Macaca fascicularis: one gene and its partners. The protein of the gene in region 1 interacts with the protein of each later gene in a pairwise test. Links are inferred from orthologs where the notes say so. Each region holds a gene or a part of one and is shown in the gene's direction. Other genes may lie near its edges. The genes, in order: VPS52, TEAD4, TSTD2, RNF41, RAB4A, TXLNA and WTAP.

Evidence for each region.
Region 2: the proteins of VPS52 (region 1) and TEAD4 interact in binary tests that used the Homo sapiens proteins (3 or more experiments, as listed by UniProt). The two-hybrid records come from large-scale screens. The link is inferred for Macaca fascicularis from reciprocal best matches to the Homo sapiens genes VPS52 and TEAD4.
Region 3: the proteins of VPS52 (region 1) and TSTD2 interact in binary tests that used the Homo sapiens proteins (3 or more experiments, as listed by UniProt). The two-hybrid records come from large-scale screens. The link is inferred for Macaca fascicularis from reciprocal best matches to the Homo sapiens genes VPS52 and TSTD2.
Region 4: the proteins of VPS52 (region 1) and RNF41 interact in binary tests that used the Homo sapiens proteins (3 or more experiments, as listed by UniProt). The link is inferred for Macaca fascicularis from reciprocal best matches to the Homo sapiens genes VPS52 and RNF41.
Region 5: the proteins of VPS52 (region 1) and RAB4A interact in binary tests that used the Homo sapiens proteins (3 or more experiments, as listed by UniProt). The two-hybrid records come from large-scale screens. The link is inferred for Macaca fascicularis from reciprocal best matches to the Homo sapiens genes VPS52 and RAB4A.
Region 6: the proteins of VPS52 (region 1) and TXLNA interact in binary tests that used the Homo sapiens proteins (3 or more experiments, as listed by UniProt). The two-hybrid records come from large-scale screens. The link is inferred for Macaca fascicularis from reciprocal best matches to the Homo sapiens genes VPS52 and TXLNA.
Region 7: the proteins of VPS52 (region 1) and WTAP interact in binary tests that used the Homo sapiens proteins (3 or more experiments, as listed by UniProt). The two-hybrid records come from large-scale screens. The link is inferred for Macaca fascicularis from reciprocal best matches to the Homo sapiens genes VPS52 and WTAP.

Annotation. Positions count from the first base shown.
Region 1 is NC_088378.1:138,434,954-138,438,453, forward strand, and holds part of VPS52 (vacuolar protein sorting-associated protein 52 homolog), read left to right. Parts: intron 1-227; coding exon 228-378; intron 379-668; coding exon 669-769; intron 770-876; coding exon 877-1,009; intron 1,010-1,134; coding exon 1,135-1,192; intron 1,193-1,548; coding exon 1,549-1,682; intron 1,683-1,795; exon of another isoform or gene 1,796-1,949; intron 1,950-2,156; coding exon 2,157-2,312; intron 2,313-3,500. UniProt on the Homo sapiens protein: Acts as a component of the GARP complex that is involved in retrograde transport from early and late endosomes to the trans-Golgi network (TGN).
Region 2 is NC_088385.1:3,905,657-3,909,156, forward strand, and holds part of TEAD4 (transcriptional enhancer factor TEF-3), read left to right. Parts: intron 1-377; coding exon 378-517; intron 518-1,524; coding exon 1,525-1,698; intron 1,699-3,500. UniProt on the Homo sapiens protein: Transcription factor which plays a key role in the Hippo signaling pathway, a pathway involved in organ size control and tumor suppression by restricting proliferation and promoting apoptosis.
Region 3 is NC_088389.1:60,520,294-60,523,793, forward strand, and holds part of TSTD2 (thiosulfate sulfurtransferase/rhodanese-like domain-containing protein 2), read left to right. Parts: intron 1-433; coding exon 434-592; intron 593-1,211; coding exon 1,212-1,350; intron 1,351-3,311; coding exon 3,312-3,500.
Region 4 is NC_088385.1:62,991,851-62,994,675, reverse strand, and holds the end of RNF41 (E3 ubiquitin-protein ligase NRDP1), read left to right. Parts: intron 1-21; coding exon 22-373; 3' UTR 374-2,325; downstream 2,326-2,825. UniProt on the Homo sapiens protein: Acts as E3 ubiquitin-protein ligase and regulates the degradation of target proteins. Polyubiquitinates MYD88. Negatively regulates MYD88-dependent production of pro-inflammatory cytokines.
Region 5 is NC_088375.1:19,811,121-19,814,620, reverse strand, and holds part of RAB4A (ras-related protein Rab-4A), read left to right. Parts: intron 1-597; coding exon 598-660; intron 661-2,235; coding exon 2,236-2,390; intron 2,391-3,500. UniProt on the Homo sapiens protein: The small GTPases Rab are key regulators of intracellular membrane trafficking, from the formation of transport vesicles to their fusion with membranes.
Region 6 is NC_088375.1:202,849,163-202,853,218, reverse strand, and holds the start of TXLNA (alpha-taxilin), read left to right. Parts: upstream 1-1,256; 5' UTR 1,257-1,310; intron 1,311-1,881; exon of another isoform or gene 1,882-1,883; 5' UTR 1,884-1,915; coding exon 1,916-2,084; intron 2,085-2,815; coding exon 2,816-3,151; intron 3,152-4,056. UniProt on the Homo sapiens protein: May be involved in intracellular vesicle traffic and potentially in calcium-dependent exocytosis in neuroendocrine cells.
Region 7 is NC_088378.1:11,259,235-11,263,402, reverse strand, and holds the start of WTAP (pre-mRNA-splicing regulator WTAP), read left to right. Parts: upstream 1-1,368; 5' UTR 1,369-1,509; coding exon 1,510-1,548; exon of another isoform or gene 1,549-2,011; intron 2,012-4,168. UniProt on the Homo sapiens protein: Associated component of the WMM complex, a complex that mediates N6-methyladenosine (m6A) methylation of RNAs, a modification that plays a role in the efficiency of mRNA splicing and RNA processing.

The DNA of each region.
Region 1 (3,500 bases):
CGAGACTCCGTCTCAAAAAAAAAAAAAAAAAAAAAAAGAATGATGTAAGATCAGGTGTATAGTGGGAAGGTCCAGGAATAGAAAACTTTGTACATGTGTCCTGACTATATGGTACAGTGCAAGGTGGTAGAGATGATAGGAGCTGGAGGTAAGGAGTGTGGTCTGGGTCTGGTTTAGGGATGTCTGGGTTTCCCTTGTAACTTATCCCACCCCTTCCTGCTACCCAGGGCAATTCTGGAGGCTCCAGTGACAGAGCCCAGGTTCTTGGAGCAGCTACAGGAGCTGGATGCCAAGGCAGCTGCAGTCAGAGAGCAGGAAGCTAGAGGCACAGCAGCCTGCGCGGATGTCAGAGGCGTGCTCGATCGGCTCCGGGTCAAGGTGGGAAGTAGGGATGGATACCCTGGAGGCTACTAGAAGCAGCCCTCCCAAGATCTTCACTATGGATTTTCTTGGCAGAGCTCACTGTAGCCTGTCTCCAAGAACTTCACCCTGCCTTTTCTGGGCAGCCCCATTCTTGCCTCTCTGGGTTTCCTTGAAAATCTTGAGAAATACCAAAGAGATATGCACCACTTTTCAATCTATGTTTACCATTTGTTGCTTCCCCCAATTCCTCTCATACAGCAAAAAGGTTGCAGCTTCATGCTCTGTGCTTGGTTCCCCACATCTAGGCAGTGATGAAGATCCGAGAGTTTATCCTCCAGAAGATTTATTCCTTCAGGAAACCAATGACCAACTATCAGATCCCCCAGACGGCCCTGCTGAAGTACAGGTCACAACCCCAAGGAAGTGCATGGGATGGCCTTTGAGCTTTTGAGCAGCCTAATGGCATCTGGTTTCCTGGGAGACAGGTAGACTGACATGTTCCTGACCTCCTAGGTTCTTCTATCAGTTTCTGCTGGGCAATGAACGAGCAACAGCAAAGGAAATCAGGGATGAATACGTGGAGACGCTGAGCAAGATCTACCTGTCTTACTACCGCTCTTACCTGGGGCGGCTCATGAAGGTGCAGGTAAGGTCAGGAGGGAGAGGCATTCCTGGGCACGTGGACTGGGAGGAGGGGACATCCCTGGGCAAGGAATATTTTATTGTGTTGTCGGAAGAGACGGTTATCAGTTCTCTTTTCTGTTTTCTTAGTATGAGGAAGTTGCTGAGAAAGATGATCTAATGGGCGTGGAAGATACAGCGAAGAAAGATATCCTAGTCCTGGGGAACCCTCATGCCAGGTCTTGAGAGTGGGAGGACTTTCGGCTGCAGCCACCAAGGCACTGTTCCTTACCTTTTCCTATGGGACTGAAACCTTTTAGAATGTGATGAAAGCTATAGCCTCCCTCCTAAGAAAGATGCGTCATTTTGACACATAGTTTTGCATATGATTGCAGGAGGTGGGGAGACACCCTGAAGTCCGTTCACAGATGTCATCACGTGGGGCCCTAGTACTGGGAAAGAGGGCTGACTAGGCCATGTCTCGCTGTCTGGGGTCCCTGCAGATAGTGAGTCTTTGGGCCCAGTTATGGTCTCATTGTTTTCCCTGACTCTGACCCATCTTACGATTCTTCTCAAAGCCATCACTCCGCAGCAGGAACACCATTTTCACCCTAGGAACCCGTGGCTCTGTCATCTCCCCCACTGAACTTGAGGCCCCCATCCTGGTGCCTCACACAGCCCAGCGTGGAGAGCAGAGGGTATGAGGAGGAACAAGCTTCAGTCATGAAAGAGACTCTGAGCATGGAGGGAGGGAAGGCCAGACCTCAGGGCAGAGCTTCCCAACCTGCAGGCCCTGTCTCGATCCCCTTAGACTTGGGAGTGGCCTTCTCCAATCACTCCAGCCTGCTGTGATGTGAAAAGAGCTGGGAACCATTGACTTAAGGGCATGCAGAGGGGAGAGACTGGATGAGGGGAATGACGGTCAGAGGCAGGTGTTGAGGTGGATGCAGGAGTAGCAACAGCAGGTGGGTGTAGGCCCTTTTTGTACCCCTATGTTCCCCCACCTTTTCAGTGCCCATTCAGCTTGCTCTTTGACAGCCTGGACCTAGATGGATGCCAAGGGTCTGCCCAGCTCTTATTACCCAGGTTTACTGATTTTGCAGCCATATCCATGGGAAGTCAGTGTTGGGGTCCATCCCTTCTGTGTTTCTTCTTTACTTCTCCTCTCCCAGTATCCATTTGAGGCCCTCTTCCGCAGCCAGCACTACGCCCTCCTAGACAATTCCTGCCGCGAATACCTTTTCATCTGTGAATTTTTTGTTGTGTCTGGCCCGGCTGCACATGACCTGTTCCATGCTGTCATGGGCCGTACACTCAGCATGACCCTGGTAAGATTCCTATTTCCTGTACTATTCAACACCTTTGTCCCCAGTCTTCATCAGCAGCATAGTGGGGTCATGACTCTGGTAGAACTGAAATCAATCAGGATCCTCATTCTAAAATGTCTAAGCCTTGGCTGGGCATGGTAGCGCACGCCCATAATCCCAGCATTTTGGGAGTCTGAGGCAGTAGGATTGCCTGAGCTCAGGAGTTTGAGACCAGCCTGGCCTGTCTATGAAAAATAAAAAATTAGCCAGCTGTGTGTTGATGTATGCCTGTGGTCGTAGCTACTTGAGATGCTGAGGTGGAAGGATTGCTTGAGCCCAGGAGGTCAAGGCTGCAGTGAGCCATGCACTCCAGAGTGAGACCTATCTCTTAAAACAAAAAAAAGAAAAGCTGGGCACAGTGGCTCACACCTGTAATCCCAGCATTTTGGGAGGCTGAGGCGGGAGGATCTGTGAGTTCGAGACCAGCCTGACCAACATGGTGAAACCCCATCTCCACTAAAAATACAAAATTAGTCGGGCGTGCGCAGCCTGTAATCCTAGCTAATCAGGAGGCCGAGGCAGGAGAATTGCTTGAACCTAGGAGGAGGAGGTTGCAGTGAGCCAAGACTGTGCCACTGCACTCCAGCCTGGGTGACAGAGCAAGACTCCATCTCAAAAAAAAAAAAGTCTAAGCCTTGTTACTTAGACTTGTCACAGTGTTACTTCCCATGAAATCCTCAGAGTGTAGGGTCCCTGAGACTCCCCCTGCTGCTGCCCCACAATCAGAATCAGGCAATAGCACGTGAAAACTGAGGGTCCTCCAAACCCCTGACCCAAGCTCAGCCTGGAACTCTGCTGTGATAGGCTTGTGATCGTAGATCCTGCTGCAGCCAGGTGCAGTGGTTTACACCTGTAATCCCGGTACTTTGGGAGACCAAGGCAGGAAGATTGCTTGAGGCCAGGAGTTCAAGACCAGCCTGGGCAACATGGCAAGACCTTGTCTTGACAAAAAATTTAAAAATAAGCCAGGCATGGTGGTACACACCCATGGTCCCAGCTACTTGGCAGGCTGAGGTGGGAACATCACTTGAGCCCAGATGTTTGAGGCTGCAGTGAACTGTGATTGTACCATTGCAATCTAGCCTAGGTGACAAAGCAAGAACCTGTCTCTAAAGTCAAAAACGCCGGGCGCAGTGGCTCACACCTGTA
Region 2 (3,500 bases), on another chromosome or scaffold:
GTGATAGTTGATTCATCTGGTTATTTCCCCGACGGGAACAGAAGTTGCTGGACAGCAGGAACTGAACAGTGCCTGTTCTGGAAGCCGTGGTCCTGCAGGACCCCAGTTGCCCTCCAGAATCCAGTCTTGCTGGGCGGTTCCATGCAGAGTCCTGAGCGGCCTGAGTTGTACCAGGCGAGCCCCTCCCCACCAGAGAGGCTCCAGGATGCCCAAGCCTTGCACTCTCTCCTCCACCTCTGCTAGGAGGTCCGTTTAGGGAGACAGGCGGCCCCCCAGGCAGCACGGGTCTGTCCGAGGAGGCCGGGGGTCCTTGCAGAGGGTGCGGGCAGGGCGGGTGTCCGTGACCAGGTTCCATGTGCCTCTCTCACTTTGTGCAGGGTTTGAGTCTCCTGCAGGGCCCGCCCCATCGCCCTCTGCGCCCCCGGCACCCCCGTGGCAGGGCCGCAGCGTGGCCAGCTCCAAGCTCTGGATGTTGGAGTTCTCAGCCTTCCTGGAGCAGCAGCAGGACCCGGACACGGTAGGTCCTGGCCTGTGCCTGGCTGGCTCCCCGCCACCCCCTCTGCCTCTGTTTCTGCTTCCAGTGCTCTTGTCCCACTCCACACTGGGGCTTAATTCAAGTTCCTTGTTCCTTTATGGTCTTTCCTTCCATCCTTCCCCCGACTCCTTTCCTCCTTCACGTCACCCCCTTCCCTCTTTCCCTCCTCCCTGGCCCAGTGCCCTGTTCCTCCCTCCCTGTCCTGTGTTCCTCCCCTCCTAACCCAACCAACCCTTAGTCCAAGGTCGCTGTGGTCCCAGCCCCACCCCCACACTGTCCCAGCCTTTCCCTGGCTCTGAGAGGCAGGCAGGAAGCTGGGGAGTCTCCTGTACGTCTGCTCCACATCCTACGGGATGCCAGCCTGTCCCCTTCAGTGTCCAGTGTCCTGGGTGACCAGCGTCACCTGCAAAGATCAGAGGGGGACCTGGAGGAGGCCAGCGTGACAGGATGCCAGGGCCCTTCTCACTCTGACATCTTCAAACTTTTTTTTTTTTTCTTTTCTTGAGACAGAGACTTGCTCTGTCGCCCAGGCTGGAGTGCAGTGGTGTGATCTCAACTTACTGCAACCTCTGCCTCCTGAGTTCAAGCGATTCTCCTGCCTTAGCCTCCCGAGTAGCTGGGATTATAGGTGCCCGCCACCACACCTGGCTAATTTTTGTATTTTTAGTAGAGACTGGGTTTCACCATGTTGGCCAGGCTGGTCTTGAACTCCTAACCTCAGCTTCCCAAAGTGCTGGGATTACAGGTGTGAGCCACTGTGCCCAGCTCAAACTTCTTTTTAACTGACGACCCTGTGAACCGAATAGACTCTTAGAAGTTCAGGATGTAAAATAAAAGAAGTCTTTTACCATCTCCATTTCACTTACGGGGAAACTATGGTCCAGAAAGGCCAAGCGGCTTGCGCCGGGTCACGTGGTGGGCATGCAGAGCTGGGACTGTCTGACCGTCTGGCCTGTGCTCCGCCTCCCTCAGACCCACTCTCTCTACAGTACAACAAGCACCTGTTCGTGCACATTGGCCAGTCCAGCCCAAGCTACAGCGACCCCTACCTCGAAGCCGTGGACATCCGCCAAATCTATGACAAATTCCCGGAGAAAAAGGGTGGACTCAAGGAGCTCTTTGAACGGGGACCCTCCAATGCCTTTTTTCTCGTGAAGTTCTGGGTAAGCCTGTGATAAACTCTTCCTTCCTACCACCAGGGCGTCCGTGGTAGTGAGAATGGGGCGAGAGTACCCAGAGCGTGCCCTTGCCACAGTAGAAACTTGGGGAGGTGGCACCAGTGAGAAGGGGAGAGCAAGCCCAGCATGGCTATGGGGTGGTCAGAGCTGAGCTGAGGAACAAGGCGGTGATCCCAGAGAGCTGGCCTAGTCGAATGAAGCCTTGTCTCGTGGGTGGTGATGGCAGCTAACCCCGGCAAGACGTGGAGCCCTCAGGAGGTGAAGTTCCAGAAAAAGACAAAGGGGACCCTACGGGGATGAGTGAAGACATTATGAGGAGCGCCCTTGTCACCCAGGTCTTTGAATGACAAGTCCTGCATGGGTTTCTGGGCCTGGAGCTTGTCCTTCAGTGCTCATGTCCAAGGCATGTTGGGCTGAACAGAGCTTGGAGAAGGGGAGGGAAGTGTTGGATGGGCGAGGCCACCCCAGAAGAAACACCCACCCAACTTCTCAGATAGCTCAGCCCATAGACTTGGCCTCTGCGGCCCTCCCACCTCACCCCTGGGCAGGTGTTTTGTGGGTAGAACCCCCTCCATTAGAAACGTCTTGTCTGAGGCCCAGAGGTACAGTAGCTGCCCTGGGAGCTTAGCTTCCTGCGGGCCCAGTATGTGCAGAAAAGGGGTGCGAGGAGAGAGTCAGACAGATAAGTGCTAATGAAGCCAGCAGTGAGGAAGGACAGGAAATCAGGCTCTGTGACTGAGGGTTGGAATATTCTCAGGACATGGACTGAGGTTTTGGTGGCTCTGCCCGCATCCCTCTTCCCCACTCCCCTTCAGCTCTCTGCACACTCTTTTCTTTTTTTTTTTTGAGACGGAGTCTCGCTCTGTCGCCCAGGTTGGAGTGCAGTGGCGCGATCTCGGCTCACTGCAAGCTCCGCCTCCTGGGTTCACGGCATTCTCCTGCCTCAGCCTCCCCAGTAGCTGGGACTACAGGCGCCTGCCACCACGCCCGGCTAATTTTGTTTTGTATTTTTTTTTTTTTTTTTTTTTGGGACGGAGTGTCGCTCTGTCGCCCAGGCTGGAGTGCAGTGGCCGGATCTCAGCTCACTGCAAGCTCCGCCTCCCGGGTTTACGCCATTCTCGTGCCTCAGCCTCCCGAGTAGCTGGGACTACAGGCGCCTGCCACCTCGCCCGGCTAGTTTTTTGTATTTTTAGTAGAGACGGGGCTTCACCGTGTTAGCCAGGATGGTCTCGATCTCCTGACCTTGTGATCCGCCCGCCTCGGCCTCCCAAAGTGCTGGGATTACAGGCGCGAGCCACCACGCCCGGCCTTACACGTTCTTTTCGATGCCTCTTGTGCAGAGATTCTTACCATTTATTTGCTCCCAGGCCATTTTCCTAATCTGAAAGCTTTACTTTTCCTAGAAAGACGCGTATTCACACCAAAGTTTACATACACGTTCGGATGGCTTTGCCAGCTCCCAGTGAGCAGCCCCCAGCCTGGCTGTCACCCACAGCTGAACGTGGGGGCAGGCTGTCTCCAGAAGGGACAAGTGTTGGAACTGAGACCTATGGCCTCTGACCTTCAAGACACTTAGCGTTTGCGCTCAACTAGCAGGATGGAAGTTGGACCCCAGCCTGAGGGATGGGCATATCTGTTGGCAGAGATGGGCAAGGCTGTTGCAGCCTAGGAGTGCATGAGTAGTAAAGGCAGAAGGAAGTGAGCTCTGGAGTGAAGTTGAAGCCGTAGGTAAAGGTATGAAAGAGGGAATAAGAGGAGACAACTGGGAAAGTGAGTTACATTCTGGA
Region 3 (3,500 bases), on another chromosome or scaffold:
CCCAAGGGGACCTTGTGTGTGCCCACCTGTGGCCACATGGATCTCCTGCCAGTACTAGCAGCTTCAGAGAAAACCCAAGTCCTAAAACTCAGAATCTGGTGAGAGAGTCTAAGAAAATATGAATTAAAGACATCTAGGCACATAACATACTTAGTGACTCCCATGAGCCTGCCTTTGGCATGTATCAAGGATCTTGCAAAGTTGCCTTTCGGCAGCCTCTCCAGTTCCCCTGAGGACCCTAGGAAGGTGACCCACAGCCACCAGCCTCGGTTTCAAGTTCAGATCTTGAAGTTGAAAGGTCAGAGTGGGGATGAGACTAGCAACTGGCAGGGGCTTCTTTGCTAAGGTAGGGTTTGTTGGGTACAAAAAGAACCTTTGTTCCTACCAGGTATGTTTTTGTGATAATTTTCCTTTTGTTGCTCCTATGTTACAGGGACGATTCCAAGGCTGCTTAGCCCCAGACATCAGGAAATTCAGTTACTTCCCTAGCTATGTTGACAAAAACCTAGAACTTTTCAGAGAGAAGAGAGTGCTGATGTACTGCACCGGGGGCATCCGCTGTGAGCGGGGTTCAGCCTACCTCAAAGCCAAGGTGAGCCACCACCCCGGGGCACTGTGGGCATGGTGGTGAAGGAGACAGCTCCACCAGCAGCCTCTGTGGAGCTATCTGCTGCCCGCAGTACTCCCCACCCCCAGCAGCCAAAGCATGCCTTCACCCCTCGTATGGCTCTTGCATGGAGTTCATAAGTACAGAATCTGAGGATCTTTAATCTCAAGATATGAAAAACACTTAACAGTCTTAGAGACTCATCAAATGTAAAAGGGAGAGATTAGTTAACATCTCCCTTTTCCTAATCCTTTTGCTTGATCCTGAGAAGAGCAAATTCAGTAACATTACATGTCCCAACAGGTGTCTTCCTATATTTAGGGGGCAGCAAAAATAGTTGGGCTTCCCAGGATCTAGAGGGTGAAGGCCCTGCCTACTTTCATCACCCATCCCACTAGGAGGCAAGATCTAGCCAGTTGGTGCCTTGACCCCTTGGTCAGCAATTCCTTAGTGTACCGCAGTGGGAGCCAGGAGCCCCTAACTGATAGCAGCGGCCATGAGTCCTCCATGTCAGTGCTCCTCGCCATGCGCCGCTCTTCCGTGGAGCATCTTAACAGGTCTCTCTGCTGGCTCTTCAGATTTCCTGTTGTTTTTCCACACCTAGGGAGTGTGCAAGGCGGTGTTCCAGCTCAAGGGTGGCATCCACAAGTACTTGGAAGAGTTTCCTGATGGCTTTTACAAAGGGAAGTTGTTTGTTTTTGATGAACGCTATGCTCTGTCCTACAACAGTGATGTGGTGTCAGGTAGGTCAGCATGGGCTCCGAGCCCAAACTGAAATGAAGCACATTGTCAGTTCACCATTCTAGAAAAATGACACAGAGAAGACAGGCCAGTGCTCATTACTGAGCACTGAATAAGCAGGGAAAATAAGTACATTGTGCCACCATCTTCCCAGCAGTGCAGCTGAGAGAACCCTAGCCCAGGAGTCAGGAGACCTGGGTTGGGATTCTGGCTTCACCATTCCTAGCTGGACAAGCCTATTAACATGGGGATCATCTCACCTGCCCTGCCTGCCTGCCTGTCTACCTGTCAAGAGTTGGACTACTGGGCTAATTCAGGGCTCTTAACCTGGAACTGGTACATGTAGATTTCAGGGGTTCTGCGAATTTGGATGGGAAAATAATTTTATCTTTGTTTTCAATAACACCTCACTAAAATGAAGTATTTCCTTCAGTTATGAATGTAGGCAACAAAACCAGTTGTATTAATGTACCTGTGACTTTGTCTTCAGTAGGATTTACAGTACTTTCATATCATGTTCCAGTTGCCTCAGATACCTCAAAATAGTATTTATACTCATCACTGCTTCAATATGAAAATAGTTATTAGGCCCACCACTAACAGTTGATATATAATATGTTAATAAATGGCACGTCTTATTATATCACAGACTTTGAAAAATACTTTGATATTTTGTATTTCTGTATAGTTGGTTTCCTTTGTGATCTCACATGTTTATGCATTTAAAAATATTTTTCTTGGTCTGGCACAGAGGCTCATGCCTGTAATCCCAGCACTTCCGGAGGCCAAGGTGGGAGGATCGCTTGAGCCCTGGAGTTTGAGACCAGCCTGGGCAACATAGCTCACTATGTCTTTACAAAAACTTTTTTAAATTAGCTGAGCATGGTGGTGTGTACCAGATACTCAGGAGGTTGAGGCAGGAGGATTGCTTGAGCCAAGGTGGTTGAAGTTGCAGTGAGTTTAAATCACGCCACTGTACTCCAGCCTGGGCGAAACAGCAAGACCCTGTCTCAAAAAAGTTTTTCTAGGCCAGGATCTATAGGCTTCACCAGACTACCAGGTAAATCCATAGCACACATGATTGTAGGAACTCCTAGCTCTCTGTGGACACAGGTGGCATGCACATTTGAGTAAGATTTGAGTTTGATTGTCCTCTCCCTTACTTTTTTGGTCTTATTTTCATTTTAGTGGTTTTGAGTTGTCTCTTATTGATCACTACTTCTGATCTGTTTTGGAGCTAGATGGAGTATAAATTCTCAACAAGTAGAAAGAGTAGATTTGATTTTACAGAGGTTATATTGGCTGGACTCGATGGGTACCTGCGTGTGAGTATGAAGGAGAGAGAAGAGGCTCAGAGGTAGCTTAGATAAGCAAGGTAAGGAAAAGTGAGGAAGAATGATGTTATAAGTGGTAACAGAAGGTCATCAGGGAAAAACAGGTGGAGAAAGAAGATGATGTGAGTTTTAGGAATCAGATGGTCAAGTGTCCTAGCAACAGCAGGAGAGACGCAGGCCTCGGGGAGAGGGGTGTGGACTGCAGATGCTTACTGTAGATGGGTTATTGCCTGTATTTACGTGTGTTGTCCCCACTGGAAAAGGGAATGATCAAAGGGGAGAAGGCCACTTAACAAGGGGGTTGGGAGGTGGTTGGCCATCTTTGGAATAGCTGGTGAGAGAGAGAAACTTTCATTACCATCTAGTTACCACCTGTTCTCTAGATGGGAAAAAGGAAAAAAAAGTAAATACTGGAAGCAGACAGTTCCCAGAAGTCACCCCCCCAAAAAAATAAGCTGCGTGGTGGGGGTGGTGGTTGGTTGTTATTGCTGGAAGACAGAAGACTTACTATTTGGAAACCTTCCCCGGGTTCCACAGATCTTTGAGATTCTAGTCAGCAGAGGGAGCAATGCCTGTCCACATGTGTGTGAACGCATGTGTTTATAATGATGGTTTTCCTTCCTCCCCAGAGTGTTCATACTGTGGAGCCCAGTGGGACCAGTATAAACTCTGCTCCACTCTCCAGTGCCGTCAGCTCGTTTTGACCTGCCCTGCCTGTCAAGGACAAGGATTCACAGCCTGTTGTGTCACATGTCAAGACAAGGGGAGCAGGAAAGCTTCAGGCCCTACGCAAGACAACTTTAAAGAGGAATGCGAGT
Region 4 (2,825 bases), on another chromosome or scaffold:
TCTTTAACCACCTCCACACAGGTGGGTGAACTCCCTTCAGCCAGCAAGAGTGACCCGCTGGGGAGGGATGATCTCGACTCCTGATGCCGTGCTCCAGGCTGTAATCAAGCGCTCCCTGGTGGAGAGTGGCTGTCCTGCTTCTATTGTCAACGAGCTGATTGAAAATGCCCATGAGCGTAGCTGGCCCCAGGGTCTGGCCACACTAGAGACTAGACAGATGAACCGACGCTACTATGAGAACTACGTGGCCAAGCGCATCCCTGGCAAGCAGGCTGTTGTCGTGATGGCCTGTGAGAACCAACATATGGGTGATGACATGGTGCAGGAGCCAGGCCTTGTCATGATATTTGCTCATGGCGTGGAAGAGATATAGGAGAACCCGACCAGCTATCAGGAAGAGATGGAAATCAGAAAATCCCATCACTCCAGCAGCTGGGACCTGAGTCCTCTCCACCATCCTTAATACTGTGGCTTATACCTGAGCCACACATCTCACTGCCCTTCTGGCACTGAAGGGCCCTGGGGTAGTTTGCTCAGCCTTTCAGGTGGGAAACCCAGATTTCCTCCCTTTGCCATATTCCCCTAAAATGTCTATAAATTGTCAGTCTGAGTGGGAAAGCCCCCACCTCCATCCATTTTCCTGCTTAGGGTTCCTGGTTCCAGTTATTTTCAGAAAGCACAAAGAGATTCAATTTCCCTGGAGTGTCAGGACAGAGTAAGGAATCTCTAGTCGTCCCTCTCCTCCAAAACCAGGGAATCAGAGCAGGCAGGCCTGTTGACTCTAAGCAGCAGACATCCTGAAGAAATGGTAAGGGTGGAGCCAAATCTCTAGAAATAAGTAGTGAGGCCAGTAATTGGCCATCACGGATGGCCCTTAGGGGAAGACTGGACCTCTGTGCCAAGCAGTATCCCTGTTCAGTCCACCTTAAAGGTGCAGGCACCCACTGGGTCTACCAGTATGCAGGTTGGGATACTGAAAATTTCCAGATGAGCTCTTCTTTCCTATAAGTTTTCATAATTAGGGAATGCCAGGGTTTAGGGTAGGGGTTAGTCTGTTGGGGTTGATGTGTTCAGCAAGAAGCTACTCCTAGCTTTTGCTAAAATATGGTCAGCACTGCCTCTTGTGGCACAGGCCATAATTGTTCCATAGAGCCCTCTCTAGCCCTGTGACTGTAGTTAGTTACTTTGATAATTTTCTTTGGCCATTGTTTATATTTCACAAACTCCACCTACTTCCCCTCCCCTTCCCCCTTTTTTTTTAAGAATGGCCTGATCATGGCTATCTCAGCCACATTGTTGGCAATTTAATTTATTTACCTTTTTTTTTTTTTTTTTTAAAGAAAGGAAAAAAGAAAAAAAATCAAACTTGAAACTTTTGATGTTCCTATTGTGGGGATTTTGGATAGGGTGGGACAGGGATGGGGGTGTGTTTTATATTTTTTCCTTTTCAGCACAACCTTTGGCTTTAATATAGGAAGAGCCAAGGGAGTCCTCGGCTGAACTTACAATATCTGCCCCAAACCTCTGTAACCCCAACTGAAATGAGGAGCTTCCTCTATTCCTGTGAAGGATATGACAGTCCAGCATCGATGCCTGTGCCCTCTGGAAAAATTTCCTCCTAGCCCTTCCAGGGCCTCATCATAAAACTCTGGATTTAGAGTATTCATTTTGAAGGCAACCCCCCGCTTCCCCAAGTTTTCTTGGAGCTGTATAGCTGGGTTCTAAGCTTCACCATGCAAATCAGAAATTTTATCTCTAAGTACAGGCTGTGCTGTGTCTCACCCACACCCCCCGGGGACTTCAGTTCCATTTCAGGTTACCTGGGGCATACCTTGATCCCTAGAGTGACTGGCAGAGTAAGTAAGAGAAGGGGAGGGATAGTAGGTGTGATAATTTTAATATGGAGGTGGGAGTGTGGTTGGAGATAGAAAGTCTCCTCCCCACCATGTGATAGCTTCCTCTCAGAGTTTTATTCCAGGCTAGCTTGCTGCAGGTCTGGGTAGTTGGATCATGGCTCCACTGGGATTGGGGTGGAGGGATACAGCTTGAGGGGAGTAGGGTTCCAGCTCCGGGACATTGTGCTCAGGAATTTGAAAACGCTGCTATACTTATTCTGGTTACTACATTTCTTCCAATCCCCTTTCCCCTACCTGCCTTACCAAGGCTTATACTGTCCTGTCCTTACCCTCAGATGGAGCCAGGAAGCTCAGTGAAAGGCTTCCCTACCCTTTGCACTAGTGTCTCTGCGGGTTGCTGGTTGTGTTGTATGTGCTGTTCCATGGTGTTGACTGCACTAATAATAAACCTTTTACTCAACTCTCTAAATTCTTCAACATTACTCCCTTTCCTGGGAAGGTTTCCCCTCTGCTTTTGCCTTTCTCTCACCTTAATTCCCCTTCTTCCTTACTTTGTTACCTACCCTTATCTTAGCGCTAACTTCTCTTTCAGGAGGATGTCTGGGAGTAGTGTGCACTTCGCAGCTGCTTTCCCATGTACCCTCCTGCATTCTTCCCTCCTATCTCCTGTTCTGTAGCAGCCAAAGGTGTCTCTCTAGTTATCTGAACTGTGTGCTTCCCAGGGTCTGCCTTCATCCTAAATTCCATGTCTTCCCTGAGTGGTCCTGAGTTTTTGGGATAATTTCTACAGAAAATATGTATATATTGTTTTCCTTTGTCCCACAAGCAACTTTGCTTTAGAATCTAGAATTCCTTTGCAGGCAGAGAAGCCTCCACCCTCCAGTGTTTCCTAACTAAGAACGTAAATGTAAGGAGGGAAATGTACTTGCAGAGGTTTCATAATTATTTACTTACAAAGATAGTCTTCAT
Region 5 (3,500 bases), on another chromosome or scaffold:
AAAATCTAGCAAAGAGGGAGAGATTGACAATGTAAGGGAAATCGTGTGACCGAAAGACGCCTTCAACGAAAGACGCCTTCTTGAATGTGAGAGTGGGTATGACATGCTGGCACACTCAGTTTCCCCATGGTGATGGGGCAGGGATGCAGATGGGTGCAGGGCCATGGTGACTATGGATTCCACCGCCCCGAGAGGTGGCGAGAACTGGAAGAGATGGAGAGAGCTGTGCCAGGGAGTGGGGTAGATGAGGAGCCCACAGAGAAGCGAGTGGATTGCTGAGCCCCTTAGTGACCATCTAGGCGGTGGTGCTGGCTTCCGCCTGCAGACAGCTCACCCTGCTAGGGGTTCTCAAAGGAGACATCCATCAGAGAGCTGCATCCGCTTTGAAGGAATCTCCTACTTGTCACGGTGATGTGATTTCAGTCAGAGTAACCCCTCTCACGTATGTTCAGGTGTCTTTGAATCATTTCTCTTTTAAACCGGCGTCTGTCCCTGTGCCGTGGTTTACAGAGCAAGTGTGGGTGTTTTTTCATGGGAAGGTGGGATACGGTAAAGGGTCTCCATTGGTTGAAAGTAAAACCAGTGTAATTCTTCCAGGTCCGTGACGAGAAGTTATTACCGAGGTGCGGCCGGGGCTCTCCTCGTCTATGATATCACCAGGTAATGCCAGCTCCCCGTGGTGAAGGAGGCTGCTCAGTGCCCTGCAGCCCAAAGGCTGGTCTTGGCAAGGTGCCTTCCGTGCAGTGTGTGCTTTGTGTGTCTGGGGACGGTGGTGTGGCTGGCATCCAGGAAGCCCCTTAGCCCTTCCATCTGGGGTCTCAGAGGTCTTTGAACAAGCCCCTACCACTGCTTTCCCATGCAGAGAAATGTATTCGTAAGGTTTTAGGTAGATGAAGCAATCTGTCTTATTGCATTATGTTTCTTGACATGATGCTTGGACACTTTCCTTAAGGTTCACAAAGCTTTATGTACGGTAAGTTATTAGAAGTGAGTTGAGAGAGGGCGAGGACACAGACGCTGGGCTGAGATTGCTTGGTTCAAATCCCAGTTGCAGTCACTAGCTGAGTGACCCTCTCGGGCCAGCTGCTTCAGCTGCCTGGGCCTTAGTTTTCTTGTCTGTAAGATGGAGGTAGTAATAATCCCATGATCCTCAGGAGGTCATTGGGAGATTTAAATTAGTTAATGTGAAGCACTTAGATAGTAGCTGTTTGTGACATATGGCAATTTAACTGAAATAAAATAAAAAATTCTGTTCCTCGATTGCACTGGCCACATTTCAGGTCCTCAGTAGCTACACGTGGCTGGTGACTACCATATCAGAACAGATTATAGAACATTCCTATCCATGAGGAAATTCCATTCGACAGCGCTGATCTGAGTAGCACTATCTCAGAAGCGCGTCATCTAAATGGCATCACCTGGGAGCCCTTTCTGGGTAGGAACCTGTCCAGTGAGAGGCTGTCGGTCAGCCGCTTCCCTCCTCCAATCTGTGTCCCTGGAGACAGGCATTCTGAGAGGAAGCAGGCAGTTTCTGGCCCAGCACTTCCTGCACTTGCCCCAGCAGTGAAAGGCTCTGCCTGCTAAAGTGTGAAGTCATCAGTCAGGCTAGCAAAGTGCCATGAGAAGAACTCGGTCCTTAGACACATGAGGGCCAAAAATAGTAAGTCTGAGAGTTGGTTCTGGAGCCAGACAGAGCTGGTCAAGTCCTGGCTTTGCCACTGGCTGCTGTATGACCTAGGGCAACGTAATTAATCTCTCTGGGCCTTGGATTTCTCAGGGAAAAGGAGAATAATGGCAGTCTGTGTCATGGAATCCTTATAAAGAATCAGTGTGATAAAGTTCTGTAAAACAAAGTGCTGGCACATTGCAAGGATTCATTAAGTGGCAGCAGTTAGCTATGAAATCTTGCCTACCACAGTCTAATACCTTGCACATGCTAAGAGCTCAGTAGATGTCAAATGAATGAAGGAATATATCTTTCCTTTTGCTCCATGACTGGGCAAACAAAAAATGACAAAATATCTGACTTACTGTCTCATTTTACCAGAAACAAAACGAAACAAACTCTGTGGATATGGTATATGTTTGGTGTATTCACGTTGTCTGAGTTACCTTAAAGGTGTTGGTGCCATTACCCTGAAATGTTGAAAAGCGGTGTGAGTAGTGAGAATGACTGGAAAGAGTTGCTAGTTTTATAAAATACATGTATTATTTTCACAATCTTATATTACGCAGCCGAGAAACCTACAATGCGCTTACTAATTGGTTAACAGATGCCCGAATGCTAGCGAGTCAGAACATTGTGATCATCCTTTGTGGAAACAAGAAGGACCTGGATGCAGATCGTGAAGTTACCTTCTTAGAAGCCTCCAGATTTGCTCAAGAAAATGGCAAGTGACCTTTTACTTCTTACTATTTTTCAAATGGCATATTTGAGGATAAAAGCATTTCTTTGAATTTAAAACATATATTGGAATTTCGAGATCAAACTAGATTTAGGAAATGTGGAATTTCCAATTGTTTTTACTATAAATTAGACCTGTTTAGCATATTGTTAGTGTATTGCATTCTGCCTGCAGAAGTTACTATAATGATAAAAGCAAATGTAGTAACATTATGTAATGACTTTCCAGTCGAAGGTCTTTGAATATTAGAGATCTTGGGCTAAAGTGAAATTTATAACAATAATCTTTAAAGACTCTAACCAAATGATGTCATTATTTTTTAATGTCTTTTGAAGGAAATTTGGTGAAGTATTAGCCCAAATAGAAAGGGAAGCAGAAGAAATACTTGGCTTATTGGCTTCATTTGCTAAACTTAAGTCATTTGGTTATAGGTGACTTTGAAACTTTTTTGAATTTCCATGTAGAATACGTGAAAATGCCACATAAAATTAATGGTTGCTTTATTAATGGATAAGAGAATGATTTTTTAAAAATTCAGACATTTTAAATAACTTTAATTTTTAGAACCAAAGACTATAATATGCTAATATCAATATTTGATTGGACTCTAAGATTCCAAATTATATTGTAACTTTACTAGTTTCTTGCTAAGAAAATAAACAGAGAAATCCATACGCCATCATGACAGTTTTTAAAAAACTGTTTAGAAATCAGAAGTTTGGAATGTTAACAAAGATGAAAAGGAATTTAGATGTCATCTAAACTCATTTTTACAAGTGAGGATACAAGAGGCTAGCGAGGCTGTGGTTTGCTGAGAGAGCAAGCAGAACAGGCCTTTCTGCTGAGATGAACAGCCACTCTAGTGGGCAGAAAGAATACTGATTCCTGTACTCTCTCTTCATGGGCTGTATGACAAACTGCAGTATAGTCCCCTAAAAAGTGTAAACACTTGTAGGTCATATTTGTGGTGACACTCAGATTGTTTGAAGGAGGACATTGCAACTTTGCCTGAAATCAGTGGCAGGGCCATTTTGGCGAGCCAGCTCCTTCCTGATGGCTGGTCACTCAGCTGGGGAAGCCTGGTGGCTTGCTCAG
Region 6 (4,056 bases), on another chromosome or scaffold:
TATTTAGCCAACAGTTCTTGCAAAATTAACTGACTTATAAGCAAATAGTAATTTCAACACCTCACTGCTAATGCTGTAACAGAACTCTGCAGACCTAGGGAGCAAGTACGGATTGCAGAGCACTGGGAAGGCTCTGAAGTGACCTTTGAACTGGGCCTCAAAAAATTTTGGGTTTGGCAAAAGCCAAACCTCTTAGGCTTCAAATTCTAGGCACAAGGATTGTTGGGTTTGACTTCATTATCCAGAAACAATGAGGATACAGAATTGTGATCTCACGTGTAGAGAATTGTGGGGTTTTTTTCTACTTTAACCCCAGTGAGACTTCGTAGAGTATGGGGTAGAGAAAAGGCTCATGAATATGCCTGAAGCCTGACTCAGCACCTTCCTGAGGAACTGACTGCCAAAACGGTAATGGAGAGGGGAAAATATGACCTACTTTCACAAGTTACCTTGACTGCCTCAGGGAAACCTGCTGTGGTAGTGTTTCTTCTGGGTAAAAGACAGGGTAGCCGAATAGTTACCTGGGTGCTGGTGTCAGACTTACGTTTTGAATCCCTGTTTTAACCACTCACTATCCATGTGACCTTGGACAAGTTACCTAACCTTTCTCTTACTGTCCTTTTCCGTAAAATGGGGATAACAGATAGTAGTTATTTCTATGAGTGGTTATGAGAACCAAGCTATTAGATACTGGGAAAGCACACAGTAAGCGTTCAAGGAACTGTTATTGTTATTAAAAGCCTCCTTCGGAAGAAGGACATCGAGGCCCAGAGAGAGAAAAGAACGTCCAGCCACACAGCAAATCCGTGATGAAATTGGGACTGGAGTGTGGGTCTCCTGAGTCTCAGTTCAGGACTCTTATCCCTCTTCCCGAGTCCTCGGAGTTCCTGGATGGAGTCACATTTGTTCACGGCCAGGGAGGAAGGTTTGATGGAGGCCTGCAGGAAACAATAGCCAGGCGCAAAGCCTTCGGGAGTTGAAACATAGCTTCTGCGAGATAGAAACAAGGTTGACGTGGGCACTCGTGCAGAATGACGGGCTCCTTTTGGACTCTGAGGACTACAGCCCCTTATGCACTTCGGGACTGCGGATAGCCCCTGCGTACGGAGGAACGCGTAGACTTTTCCCTGCCCCGCCCTCCCGGCGCGCCCGCCTCCGAGGCCGCCCTCGCTTAGTCCTTCCCAGCAAGCTCCGCGCCGGCGCCGGCTATTGATTGGCTGAGGCGGGAGCAGGCGGCTCGCCGGCAGCGGTTACTCGGGGTTTCCGGTGCGAGGCCAGAGCTGGGGAAGCCGTCGGACGTCGGCGGTGAGGTACGTGCCGTGGCAGCCGTTGGGCGAGACTATTTGAGGGTGTGCGGGCCGGGATGTTCTCGGCCTGTGGGGAAATCACGCCAACTCCGCGCGTGGGCCGGCGGCCGGGACGGGGGGAGGGGGGGTGGCCTGCCTGGGGGGGGGGGGGGTGCGCATGCGCGGGCGTGCCTCGAGGCTGCAGGGCGCGCAGGGCGTGGGTGGCTGCGAGCGCGGGGGGCGCACGTGGGGCCTGAGGGGCGGGGGCGGCGCCGGCGCCGGGAGTCCCGCCACGTCAGTCTCCGGCCCTGAGCCAATCCCGGGCCCGGCCTGCCGCGAGGGGGCCGGTTGTGTAGAGAAGTGGCTCCAGGGAGAAAAGAGGCCCCTTCCCTCACCCGCTGCGGGAGCTGCGCCCCGAAAGCCTGTCCCGGCACGCCGGGCTCCCCTGACCCTCCAAGACCCGAGAGCCGTTGGCGCCCTCTGCCAGGGCCGGCCGGTCCGTTTAAGAAGCTTCGTGCGCCTGCTGTGGGGATTTTCTGATCCAGGCTGCGAAGAATTTCGAAGTCTGGAAAATAGCAACTGTGTTTGTTTCTAAAGGATCTTCTCCTGACCCAGCATCTCTCATCACAATGAAGAACCAAGACAAAAAGAACGGGGCTGCCAAACAATCCAACCCAAAAAGCAGCCCGGGACAACCGGAAGCAGGACCCGAGGGAGCCCAGGAGCGGCCCAGCCAGGCGGCTCCTGCAGCAGAAGCAGAAGGTCCCGGCAGCAGCCAGGCTCCTCGGAAGCCGGAGGGTGTGTGCCAGCTCTGCGTTGCCAGCGGGCAGGGGGTGGAGCTGTGGGGCCGGCCTCGCTTCTGGACTTAGAGGCCGAAGCCAGGTTGTCCGGGAGGAGGGAATATAGAATGAGAGGACAGTGCTGGGGCCGCGGTCACCCCCGAATTCTGGCGAGTTGGCGGAGCCGCTCCCTGTAAGCACAGGAACAGAGTTCTGGAGAGAACCTCTAACGGGATTAAGTCAGGTGGCAGCCAAACGGGGCACCCAGTCAGGAAATCCAGGTCCGGTTTGAAACACCTCAGCCACTAGCAGCTAACTGCCCTTCCTGTTTGAGGCATTTCTAGAATGATCTGAATGGTAAAAAATGGTTTTGTGAGGGGGAAGGAGATGGACTAGAAGTTGCACCATGCCATCCCTGTGTGCTGATGCTTTACATACTTTTATGATCATAACAAACATGTTCGAGTGGTAGTGAGAAATAGTTGTGTCATTTTACAAGTAAACAGAAGTGAAGCTTAACTATATTATATTACTATAATTTCTTGATTCAAAAGATGTTTCGAATTTAAATTCTGACAGGAACTAGATTTGCTGAATAATACTCCATTCTTGCTTCTCAGTTTCCATAAAAAAAGAAAAGTTAGGCAACATTTAACTCAAACTGATGAGTTTGGCTGGACCTGAAAATTCCCAACCAGTGGTATAATTTGTCTTGTTTCTCACTCTACCCCTCATCCTCTCCTGCTGTAGGGGCTCAAGCCAAAACGGCTCAGTCTGGGGCCCTTCGTGATGTCTCTGAGGAGCTGAGTCGCCAATTGGAAGACATACTGAGCACATACTGTGTGGACAGTAACCAGGGGGGGCCTGGCGAGGATGGGGCACAGGGTGAGCCAGCTGAACCCGAAGATGCAGAGAAGTCCCGGACCTATGTGGCAAGGAATGGGGAGCCTGAACCAACTCCAGTAGTCAATGGAGAGAAGGAACCCTCCAAGGGGGATCCAGGCACAGAAGAGATCCGGCAGAGTGATGAGGTCGGAGACCGAGACCACCGAAGGCCACAGGAGAAGAAAAAAGCCAAGGGTTTGGGTGAGCAGAGGGTGGCTCTTTGTGAGGCTGGTGAGGGGAGGGAGTTTGGACTTGACGTTCTCTGGACCAGTCTGTTCCGCCAGGATTCAAAGGAAAACGGTACTTCTCAGAACAGCAAGTCACTCTAGTGTAATCAAAGCCAGGGATGTGGGGGCCACGGCATAGAGAGATGCAGGGGTTCCCAGCACAAGGCCTTCTGGCTTTTGGAGCAATTGGGGGTTGGAATGGGACCTGTTCTCTCTTTGAGAAAATGGAGATGGGAGGCCAGGGTGGGCTCCTGTGCCAGCCAGTACTACCTGCTGTGTGATCTCGGGTGTGTCCCTTCTCCTCTCTGGGTCTTAGTTTATACTTCTCTTTACAGTAAGAAAATTAGACTAGGCTGGAGTTGAAAACCCAAATGTCTGCATAAGCTGGGCTGGCCATGGGGCCACATGAAGATGTAGGCTACTTTATCCAAAGACTTTACTGCTTCCTGATTAGTTGCTCTCAACTAGCCAACTGAGAGCAGGCAAAACTGCAGGCTGGGTGCAGGCTTCTTTTATTTTTATTTATTTATTTATTTATTTTTTGAGACAGTCTCGCTCTGTCACCCAGGCTGAAGTGCAGTGGCACGATCTCGGCTCACTGCAAGATCTGCTCCTAGGTTCACACCAATCTCCTGGCTCAGCCTCCCAAGTAGCTGGAACTACAGGTGCCCACCACCACGCCCGGCTAATTTTTTTTTGTATTTTTAGTAGAGACGGGGTTTCACTGTGTTAGCCAGGATGGTCTCGATCTCCTGATCTCGTAATCCGCCTGCCTCAGCCTCCCAAAGTGTTGGGATTACAGGCGTGAGCCACCGTGCCCAGCCTTCTTTTATTTTTTTAATTATTTTTGTTTGTTTGTTTGTTTTTTGAGACGGAGTC
Region 7 (4,168 bases), about 130 Mb from region 1:
TTTTTCCATTCCCACCAGGAAAGGCAATTTCAATGTGTATTTCCATTGTAAGTGAGGTGGAGCGACTTTCTATGTTCATGAGGAACACAGAATTACATAGAACATAAAAAATGACTATTTTTTCTGAGAATCATCTGTTCATGTGCTTCCCCATTTTCCCCTTTGGCTTTTGGACTTTTTGTTTTCAATTTTTGAGCGCTCTTGTGATACAAGTTGCAAAGATTTTCTCCAGACTGATCTGATTCACTGGGAACACACTATGGCCATCTGGAATGTACTTTAATCTTATCCTAATAGATCACCCTACTACAAGACACTCCTTTGGGGATGAACAGGTTCGAGAAAGCCGGCTAAGGACAGACCAATCAAAAGAACTACGTGCTCCTCTAGTAAGTGTTTAGAGACTGCTTCTCCAGGTAACACCGCCCTTACTCGGCGGTCCAGATGGCAGTCTTGCTTCAGGGAGTCTACTCCACTTGCAGGACCTCTTTGGTTGGGTTCACTAAACCTCACAGGGCCGCCTTCCCCACGTTCGAGTTAGCAAGGAGCCCTCAGCGCCGCGGACACAGCGCAACCTCCGACGCCGGAGAACAATAGCTCCTTGATGCGTCTCCAGAGATGTCAAGGAGGAACGAACCCAGCGGCCAGAAGGCTGCGCCTCACGACTGAAGAGAGGGAGGACATCGGATTCTAAGTTCCCAAAACTTACAGGTGAGCTTCTGCTAAGAGCAAAGGCCCGCGGCTCGCCGCCCACCGCTTCTCTTCTGAGGTGGCACCTGGTTCTCCGGCACGCGGAAGCATCACGGATGAGCGTCGCGAACACAAAGCGGCCAATCACGGGCCGCCTTCGCCCAGATCCCTCCGCACGAGGCCGCCCCCGCAGCCGCAGGTGGCCCCGGCGAGTACGTCCACCTTCCCTTCCCGTGATGCCCCGGGGCTGACCTCCGACCTCGCTGGCCCGCCCCTCCCTTCGGCCGCTTCCCTTACCGCGCTAGCTGAGCTCCGGCGCCCGCGGAGCTCGCGCCAGGCTCCTGGGCAAGGACGGGGCGTATTACCGGGGAGCAGCTGCTCCATTGCGCCTCGAGGCCCCGATCGGGCTAGGCTGGCGGCCTCCCTCCCTTCACCTTTCCTCTCCTGGCAGGGCCCGGCGGCGGGCGAGTGACTGCGGCCACGCCTGAAAGGCGACTCTTCTGTGAGTGGGCCAGAACGCGAACATGGCGGAGCGGGGAGGCTGGCGGGAGGCGGGAGGCAGTGGCGCTGGCCTGCGGCGAGTTTGGGCCGGCTGTGGGGCGGGGCGGGGCGGAGCGGAGCCCGGTGGCGGGGCGGGGCCGGGCGGCGGGTCCTGGTTTCCTCCCTCAGCGCCATTTTGTGGCAGCGAGACCCACAAATAAAGGGGAGCGCTGGGGTTGCGGCGGGACTAGGAGTGCGGCGGGGCAGGCGCCAGAGCTGTCCGGCTGCGCGGGGGCCCGGGGGGCCCGGGCGGCAGGGCAAGCAGCGCGGCCTCGGCCTATGCGACTGGCGGCGCCGGCGCGGCTTCTGCCTGAAGAGGTAGGTGCGGGCCGGCTGGCGGGAGCGGCCGCGGGGGACCTCCGGGGCTGAGGGTTGGGGCGCAGCCGCCCCCGGCCGGTAAGAGGCTGGCAGGGCCCGAAAGGCCACTCGGGCCCGGCGCGGCACCAGTCTCGTTATCCGCTCTACCTTCCCGCCAGCGGGGAACACTTCCGCCGCGTCGAGGCCATTTTATCTCCGTCCTCCGTCCCCAGGGCCCGGGGTGAGAGGGGTGCTTCGGCGGCCGGAGAGACCGGCCACTCACGGAGGTCGGAGGATGCCCTCCGCGGGCTGAGCGGCGGCGCTCGTTTTTTCCTCACCTCGGTGTTGCTCCCTCCACCTCCCTTGGGCCTCTCCCGAGTTCAGCAAGGAAAAAAAGAAACGTTCGTTCCCTACATTTCATGTCACGCAGTAGGATGTTACTGCAGCTACGTTCTCTTGTAGACTTCCATTTTTAAATGAGTGCATGTATTCTGAGGAAAGAAACTGAATTATTTGCAGATTTTTGTGAAATCCAAGTCTTACGTTGGATCCCTGTGAGACAGTTACTACATTATTTTTTTAACCTTTTTTCATAAGTCAGTGTACACGTAGTGGAAAAGGCCAAGTTCTTGTTTTGATAAGGAAGTCACTTGGTTGGTTGATCCCAAAGGACTAGCTTAACATTATCAAGGACTAGCATAGCTGATTATGTAAAAAAAAAAAAAAAAAAAAAAAAAAACTGTTTAGTTTGGTAGGGAAATACTTCGATTAGTATGTTACAGTTAGAAGTTGTATTTGTGCCTATTTTATCTAGTTTTAGTTAATTCTATTGCTTCGGAAGATAAGTGGACGTCATAGATCCATCACACGGTCTCGTTTTTTGGATTTTAAAATTTTGACCATTAAGTTTTCTACGATAAACATGTTGTGGTCATTTAAAACCGTAATTTAAAATTATGAGCGAAAAATCTTTTCAAGGTGGATACATTTTAATTCATTCAAGTAGCATCTGATTAGGCAAGTCCGCAGGTTGGCTTGTGATAAGGTTGAGGTTACATTTTACAGGTTTGGATAGGTGTGTTTCTTACAGTGCTTTTAGATCTTAAGGTATCTTAAGCAGACACATAGTTTAAAAGTTCAGTATTTTTCGTACTTTTTCAGTGGCAGAATTTGTACAAGCTACCAGAATGTCTAACTCCTAAAGGATAAAAGTAATAATAATAGGGTGTCCCAGGCACAGCTTATTTTTACATGGCTCTTTTATGTGTAGCTTTTCCAATTCAACGTTGAGTCATGTTTGCTGAAAATATTTTTGTGTATTGTTTGTCAGAAATAAGCTGGTAGAGATGAAACAGAAAATATGTAAAAGCCCTATGATGTGGAGATGAGCATTGTCACAATTTGTACAGTACAGTAAAGCGTTCAAGGTCCCCTGTGGTCTTGTATGTAGTATTGAATCCCTTTGAATATATTGTTTAGCAGTTTAGATCATTATATATTTGTTTCTTGCTCGTCAAAATTGTATGTTAGTAGGTCCTTCAGCAAAACAAGACTATGATAGTGTTTTTAATTTTTTTAGTTGTCTCCAACTTTCTGCCTCTAAATATTTTGTTTCTTGTAGTTACTAAGCTTAACACAGAAAAACTTCTCAGTATCTCCACAATAGTATACTTCATTGTGTATAACGGTATTCCATCTAACTAGAATATAGTGCTATAAATATTTTCTGCCTTTGAAGATACAGTTAGTAGAATTTAATCTTTTCTAAGTGCACGTTGAAGTTGCCTTTTATGTTCATATTATGTTCATATTTTGTTTGAAAAATCTATTTGTAGCATTTTTATTGTGCTGAAAGCATTAATATTTGCAGCACTTTGTGAGGCAGGCAAAATTATCTTTTTGCTGACTTGAAACTGCAGGAGTTAAAAGACTTGCTTGGAATCACGTATGGCAGATAGAGGGTAAGGAAAAGATGGCCTTTCAGTTCCTCATCAGTACCTTGCTCCTACAGTTTCTGAAGATTGATTTCTTACATTCAGCTATGATTTGTTTCACCAAGGTACTGTGTCTTCTTACTGAAGTTGTGTTGGCTGGCGCTTGCCTCTGTTCAGAGGGAACTGAGTTACCTGACTTTATGATGCTGAGAGCCAGGAAGGTACTGGGATCTGGGATCTTAGGCACCTAACCAGTCAAGACTGAACTCCATACTAAGCTGTTTTTCTATGTTAAGACATCAAGAGTAGATGGTTGTCCTGATATTCTGAGATATATTATCTCTGAATTATCTACATAAATAACTGAAACCTTTTCGTGTTATAAAACTAGTCAATCATGTTACCACCTTTTTGGGTGGCACCAAATTTGAGACCCTTACCCCAATTTATTAATAGTTGTTTTAATCACCTAATAGCTAATCACCTAATGACTCACAGTCATTTTCATCCTGGAAAATGGGAACTAACTTTGACTTTGAAAAGTGCTGTTATTCAATGTGTGACTCATAAGAACTGAGCATATTTTATTATTTTCCTTCAGGATTCAATTTTAATTGACTCCAAATGATGTTATGGTCATTCTGTTTTTCTGATGTGACAGTAGATTGTTCTGAAAACCTGGAATATTCATTGTCTTTATGAATCTA